2 linked regions of the Mus musculus genome follow. The protein of the gene in region 1 purifies or fractionates together with the protein of each later gene. This does not show direct contact. Links are inferred from orthologs where the notes say so. Each region holds a gene or a part of one and is shown on either strand. Other genes may lie near its edges.

The links. The genes of interacting proteins can lie anywhere in the genome.
Region 2: the proteins of Snx33 (region 1) and Dnm2 purify together in Homo sapiens (co-immunoprecipitation; 3 studies listed by BioGRID and IntAct, with this or other methods). This does not show direct contact. The link is inferred for Mus musculus from reciprocal best matches to the Homo sapiens genes SNX33 and DNM2.

The regions. Positions count from the first base shown.
Region 1 is NC_000075.6:56,926,128-56,929,875, reverse strand, and holds the start of Snx33 (sorting nexin-33), read left to right. Parts: upstream 1-1,504; 5' UTR 1,505-3,092; coding exon 3,093-3,748. UniProt on the Homo sapiens protein: Plays a role in the reorganization of the cytoskeleton, endocytosis and cellular vesicle trafficking via its interactions with membranes, WASL, DNM1 and DNM2. Acts both during interphase and at the end of mitotic cell divisions.
Region 2 is NC_000075.6:21,473,275-21,476,922, forward strand, and holds part of Dnm2 (dynamin-2), read left to right. Parts: intron 1-1,257; coding exon 1,258-1,400; intron 1,401-3,198; coding exon 3,199-3,334; intron 3,335-3,648. UniProt on the Homo sapiens protein: Catalyzes the hydrolysis of GTP and utilizes this energy to mediate vesicle scission at plasma membrane during endocytosis and filament remodeling at many actin structures during organization of the actin cytoskeleton.

The DNA of each region.
Region 1 (3,748 bases):
TCACCTGCCTCTGTCTCCCAAATTCTGGGACTAAATGTGTCCACCACCACTCGTTTGTCTGTTTGTTTAAGAAAGGGACTGGAGTCCAGCCTCCAATTCATGACAGTGCTGTTTCAGCTCCCGGTTTGTTTGGTTAACTTTTGGTAAGATCTTGCTAGATGTGGCACAGGCTGGCCTGGCACTCACTCAGTCTCCCGTGTGTGTCATCACGACCAGCTGTTATCCTTCATAGGGAGTCAAAGTTTATGAGTTTTGGAGTCAGAGGTCTAGGAGTCATGACCCTCAAAACAGCCAAATGTCCCAACCTTCAGCAGCACTACTTTATACCAGTTAATCAGCAATAAGTAAGAACAATAGTAACCTGGAGGTAGGAAGCCCTAGCAAGATTGGGTAAATAAGGCTCTAGGGCTCCAAGAGGAAGAGGAGGTGTGTGTGTGTGCGTGCGTGTGTGTGTGTGTGTGTGTGTGTGTGTGTGTGTGTGTGTGTGTGACAGAGAGAGAAAAACAAAGAGAGACAGACAGAGACAAGACAGAGAGGCAGGGGTTTTCTATGTATCCCTAGCTTTCTGGAACTCATTTTGTAGACCAGGCTGGCCTCAAACTCATGAGATCTGCCTGTCTCTGTTAGTGCTGGGACTGAAGGAATGGGTGACCACGGCTTGGAAGGTTCTTGATATGTGTTCCACTTAGGCTGGGATCAGTGCCTTCCCAAGCATTTTGCACGACACTGGCCACACTAGGCTGGAACATCTTGCTTCTCTGTGAAGATACTTATGACCTTCCAGACGATAATCTTAGTTTCGGTTAATTTGTTGTTTGGAATATAAACTTAATGATGGGACAGACAGTGTGAATTAAAAACCACAGCAGCAATCCAGCTGTTATATTCGCTCCAGAGTTCAGCACAACTCCTGTCTTTAGTACACCTAGTTTTGCCTAATGTGGAGGGTCGAATCCTGGAAGCCTAAAGGCTATTTACCAGACCACTCCTCTCTCCTTGCTATTTGCTGCTGGCCTGGAAGGAAGATCTGGCTCCCGCGAAAGGACAAAGCAACCCAGAACCCGCCTGTGCCTAAACTTGCAACTTGTCACTGAAGAAGTTACATGGTCTTTGGCACCCCACCCCCACACTCTGGGAGCTGCGGAAGGCAGGAGGGCTCCTCTCCCTATCTTGCTTACAGCATCGGTTATCACCTGCGGGATACCAGGGTCACAATTTGCTGCCTACACCATCTGAGAACAACCCGGGAGCTGTGTTAGCCCCTAGACAGATCGAAGTACGCGTGGCGGGAAAGGAGGTTGGGAAAAGGGAGTCCGCAGCTCTGCTCCCCTGCAGCCGAGGCGGTTCTCCTAGCCTTTATAGCTCCCTCCTTGCCACTGCGCTCCGCAAACTTTCGGAGTTTTCCTGCACTTGCGTCACGGAAAAGGCAGATGGATGACCAAGTCCAGGAGGCGAAGCTCGAAGGCGGCTGGCGAGCTCCCCCACGCGGCGATCCAATCCGAGCGAGAAGCGGCTCTGGGCGCCGGCAACTGGGCTGCTGAAAGCTCGCAGCTCCCCGACTCCCGGGTCCATTTCCTGGATCCCGGCCACCGGGACTGAACCGGAGAGAGGGAGGGCGCCCGCCAGAAGGAAAGTGAGCGGAAGGCCGGCGGTGGCACCCTGGCCGCGGGAGGGCGGAGCTGTGCGGTCCCTGACCGGCCAGGACGCACGGAAGTGCGGTAGAGTTTGTTGAATTCCGTAGCCTGCTTTCCCTCCCTCATACCTCCCTCCCTCTCTCTCCACCCCTCACCTCCCCTACTGCTTTAGCCTCCTTCCTCGGAACGCCATCTCCTGGACTCCTCCCCCCTTCTCTTTTCTTTCTTTCTTTTTCTTTTTTCTTTTTCTTTTTAGTTTTTTGAAGGGAGGGTGAATGTTTGTTTTGGACTTGGCTTCCTGCTGGCAGCGCTGAAGGGCTGCGAGTGAGGGGCAAAGAGGCAAGAAGCTGGGGCTCAGCTAGTCCCTCTCGGGTCGGATCCAGAGGGCATCGCGGAGAACGAACCTACGGACGGACTGACAAACACCCGACTACGCCATCTGTTCGACAGAGCTCTATCTACTGACTGCTGTTGAGTGTTCCGGGGCACATCAGGGGCGGGGGGTGGTGATGGTGGAGGTTTCTCCTAGCGTTACTTCTGGACAGGGGTTCTGAGACTCTGATCCGGGTCAGCTTCATACTCTGAAACTGCCGAGGAATTAGGCAAACAAAAGAGGCACTGAGTGAAAGAGGCCAGAAGTTCTTTGCGCTGCTTGTCGCGCCCCCCCTTGTTATCTGGGGGCGGGGGCTGGCCATTTGCAGGGCGGGAAGAGGGCACCAGAGCTAGCGAGACGGGGTCGCACCCCCTGGGTCGAGTAGTTTTCAGCCGGTTGTGCAAGCTTTGGCCCTTGTTTTCCTGGCCTGGCTCTTTTGGAGGCCGGACACATCCACCCTTGGAATTGGTTCAGGACTCTGCTGTTATTCTCTTTGCCCCTCTTGAATTTTCTGGATTCTTGAAGACGCGGTGGCCCGGGAGGAGAGAGGAAGGAGGAAGGAGCAGATCTCCAGAAGAATGTGAGAGCCTCCCAAAGCCGGAGCCAGTAAGAACGGAGAGCCAGAGGAGGCAGAACCTTGCCTGCGTTCCTGGGACCGTGGTCTGAGGGTAAATCTCTTCTGTTGTACAACACTGTTTTAGTGGAAAGTGTGTGTCTCGTTCTGGTTCTAGCAGAGCTGCTTTCTTCAAGTCATTTGACTTTTCTGCTTGGTGTGTGAGGAGGGAGAGACCCGCTCCTTTCCAGGGGCTGCCAAGGGAGAGGAGAAAGACTGTGGCCATGACCAACCCCTCCCTGCTTACAGGCAGATACCCCAAGGCAGTTTCTGGACCATGGACACTTCTTTGACCAAAAGGCAGCTAGACAGCATCTGTGCATGCTGAGGCCCTGCCCAAAGGACTTGGTAGGGCTTACTAGACTTTGAGCTGCAAGTACATTTTTTTTTTTTTTTTTGGACACCCTGTTGAACATCCTGAATCTGGGCAAGGCATTTTCCTTCCAGTCTTGACCTAACAGATAGCTGAGCCATGGCACTGAAAGGCCGAGCCCTCTATGATTTCCACAGTGAGAACAAGGAGGAAATCAGTATCCAGCAGGACGAAGAGCTGGTTATCTTCAGTGAGACCTCACTGGACGGCTGGCTGCAGGGACAGAACAGCCGTGGGGAGACAGGGCTCTTCCCTGCTTCTTACGTCGAGATTGTCCGTCCTGGCATCAGCACCAACCATGTGGACTATTCCAACAGCCCTGCAGGCTCCCTGGGCACCCAGGGGAGTTTGTATAGCAGCCCGAGTATGGCCAGTCCAGCCAGGAGTGGTGGGGGCAGCGGCTTCCTCTCAAACCCAGGAAGCTTCGAGGATGATGATGATGATGATTGGGATGACTGGGATGATGGGTGCACAGTGGTAGAAGAGCCACTAGCTGGCGGCCTAGGTACCAATGGGCACCCTCCACTCAACCTCTCCTACCCGGGTGCCTACCCCAACCAGCATATGGCTTTCCGACCCAAGGCACCCCTGGAAAGGCAGGACAGCCTGGCGTCTGCCAAGCGGGGCAGTGTGGTAGGACGGAACCTCAATCGTTTCTCGTGCTTCGTACGCTCTGGAGTGGAGGCCTTCATCCTTGGTGATGTGCCCATGATGGCCAAGATTGCTGAGACTTACTCCATTGAGATGGGCCCACG
Region 2 (3,648 bases), about 35 Mb from region 1:
AGCCAAAGTCATTCTCAGCTATGTGATGTGGGATAAGTGAGAGTCTACCTGAGTCAAAAAACAACAGCAAAGACCTCTTTGCTCATAGATTGGGACCTGAAGAGAGAGCCATTGTCCTTAGGGAATGTCCACTGGAAAGCCAGCTGGTAAACGAGCCACCAGATGAATTCCTCAAGTGTTAGCTGTGGCTGGAGGTTAGTGCAGAATGAAGCTGAGAGCAGCATCCCTAGAGCAGGTGCAGCAGGCATTGGGCAGTGTGTCTTGTAGGAAGGGATAAAGGGGGCTGGAGAGATGGCTCAGTGGTTAAGACTGCTCTTCCAGAGGTCCTGAGTTCAATTCCCAGCAACCACGTGTAATGGGATCTGACACCCTCTTCTGGTGGGTCTGAAGACAGTGACAGTGTACTCATGTACAAAAAAATAAATAAATCTTTAAAAAAAAAAAAAAGGAAGGGCTAAAAGCAGAGACCACTGGACCTGGCCAAAGTGTGGAGGGGCAGGAAGGAAAACCCTCCACAGAGCCTGGGGCTATTGAGAACCAGAGGTGTATAGCTTGGCTGGCCCCCCTGAATTAAGAGGTGCTCTGTGGAGCATTGATTGTTTGTGAGCTCAGCGATGTGGTCCATAGCAGCCACCTGCTGCTCAGGCCTGAGGACTTCATTTCAGTCCCCAAACTAAAGGAACGGTAGAAGGAGACAGTAGACTCCATGTTCTCTGACCTCCACCCAGGCACCCTAACATGTACACTTACCCCCCAACACACGTACTCACAGAAGTAAATAAGAATTCTAAAAGGCCCACAGAACAACCTGGCTCCCACAGACTTGGGGCTCGTCACAGGCCGGAGCCTCTGCACTGCTCTCCTCTAGCATTGGTGTGTTCAGAATCTTTCTTTTCCCTGCTGGGAATCCACCTGCTATGCAGTGGGGCTCTTGCTCTGTCCCTCCCCTCCCTCAGTCTCCCGCAGATGTGGCCCCACGTCCTGCTCAAAGCATATACCTTTGAGTCTTAGTTAGAGGGCCATCCCAGGCCTGCACACTGGTCCCACCATCCCCATCCTTGGGTGTCAACTGACATCTGCTACAGGCTCTCTGCTCCACTTGTTCCAGCTTCTGTCCCCGTCTCAATGATTTGTCTGTAGGTTTGTGGCTCTCTTTGGATTGCACCCAAGACTGAGTATTCTGGCCTGAGGGTGGATTGTGTTCTTTCCTGGCCTCTGGGCCTGTGGTACCCTGTCTGACCCTTACCTTTTCTATAGCAACTGACCAACCACATCCGAGAGTCACTGCCGACCCTTCGCAGCAAGCTGCAGAGCCAACTGCTGTCCCTGGAGAAGGAAGTGGAAGAGTACAAGAATTTCCGGCCTGATGACCCCACGCGCAAGACCAAAGCCCTGCTGCAGTGCGTACTCACTCCCCTTCCCCTTGCCTGGCCCAGTCATCCTGCTCTCCATTCAGGCCCTTGTCCTACCCTGCCCCTGCGAGTGTGGGGTCCAGTCTCTGGACATTTAACATGACACTGTCATTTGTAGGGTTCATGTCCTGAAACTGTGTACCTGCATTACAAAAAAACAGGGAAAAGTCACATTGTTTCAACAAGTTACCATTGTGTGCTAATCCCAGCATTTTAGTAAGTTGCCATTGTGTGTTAATCACAGTGTTTTAGTAAGTTGACATTGTGTGTTAATCACAGTGTTTTAGTAAGTTGTCATTGTGTGTTGTGCCTCATTCGTTGCTGTAGTCCTGTGGCCTGTGGCACTCAAGTTGGACACAGCTGAACAAGGTATGTTATCTAAGCCTGTCATCCTGGGCCTTAGGAGGTGGTGGCAGGAAGATAAATCAAAACTTGCTGAGCTGAGAACGTGGATGAGCAAGTTAAAGTCGAGGGCCTGAGCTCCATCTCCTGACCTAGTGCAAGGAGAGAAACCCTTCCTCCAAGCCTGAGGGCGTGCACCCGTGATCCCGTGGGTCATGGGGAGATCCAGTCTGGGGAGACAGACTGAGCTCCGCCTTCAGGGAGAAATTCAGTAAAGTAGAGAGAGATTTAAAGACAGTGGACAGTCACTTCTTTCCTGCGCACGTGCACACACACACACACACACACACACACACACGAAAGAGAGAGAGAAAACAAGACACTGTTTAAATGAAAAAAAAAGAAAAAGGAGAGAGCAAGCAAATATACCATGATCAACTGGGTGTGGTGGCCTGGTGCAAACTTCAGCCACTTGGTAGGCATTTGGGAGTCCCTTCCTTCCTTGCATCATTTAGTTCCAAGAGGTCAAACACTGTGGCCCTCAGACTCAGTGAGAAGTACCTTTACACACTGAGCCATCCCAGGACCACACCTACCCCCAAAATATGTTCTTTTTCGTTTTCCTTTTTTTTTTTATGCTTACATGAACTGTTGATGCCTTGTGTGGTTGCCAAGTTCTCCGGTGCTCACCCTGTCACCTGCTCTGCACAGATACAAGCTGAGCCTCACAGTGCAGAGCCACTTAGTCAAGATTTCCCAGCCTACCATGTTGTCGCTCCTGTGGGACCGAGGTAGAGAGGTAGCGGAAAGTAAAGATGCTCCTCAGCCGGTCTGGAGCAGCTGCCTTGACAGACAGCCATGCAGTCAATCATGGGACCTGGGGAAGGACTGCATAGCTGTGCCCTCAGAATTCCATCTAGAATTTTAGTATTAACAGATCTATTGAGGTCTTGAGAACAACCAGGATAGTGCCCAGCACTTACCAAAGTAGCGTTGATACTTTACACATTGGCTGTTAAACAGTGATATTGAAAAAGAAAGAAAAATGGCCAAACATGGTGGCATACATGCCTGTAATGCTAGCATGGAAGGCCCAGACAGAAGGGTCTGTAGTTGAAAGCCAGTTGGGGTTACACAGCAATACCTGTATTCACATACAACAATCCCATGAAAATGAGCCACAGGACTGACAAGGTGGCTCAGCGGGTAAACAGGCTTGCTGCCAAGATAGCCTGAGTTTTATCCCCAAGACGTACCTGGTAGCAGGAGAGAACTGAGTCCCATAAGTCTCCTCTGACCCCACTCATAGACTGTGGCATGCCTCCTTCCAATACACAAATGTAACTTAAAGCCTTTGTAAGAGCAGAGCTTATCTCTTGATTCATGTAATTACAGGGCCGTGCAGAAAACTCTGTCTTAACCTTTTGCCTTTTCTTTCGTGAAGGATGGTTCAGCAGTTTGGAGTGGACTTTGAGAAGCGAATTGAAGGCTCGGGAGATCAAGTAGACACACTAGAGTTGTCTGGTGGAGCCCGCATCAATCGTATCTTTCATGAGCGCTTTCCCTTTGAACTGGTAAAGGTAGGTGTTCAGCCTGGAGTTAAGTCAGACACTCTCATGCTTGGTCTTTGTCTTGGCCTTAAAAATTCTTACAAACCATGATGTTACAAGCTCCTGCATCATGTCAGAGGCTGCTGTCAGCAAACTTGGTCTGAAGGACATGTCCCCATCTTCCCAGATCTCATAATTTAGAAGCTCTGAGCTGAACAGGAGGAAAGTCCATGTTTCTTCCACTGGTGGAGGGAAGAAAGATACATGGGGGCCAACGAGATAGCCCAGCAGGTACCCTCTGCTCTGCCCGACTGCCTGAGTGTGATCTGCAGGCAGAAGCACAG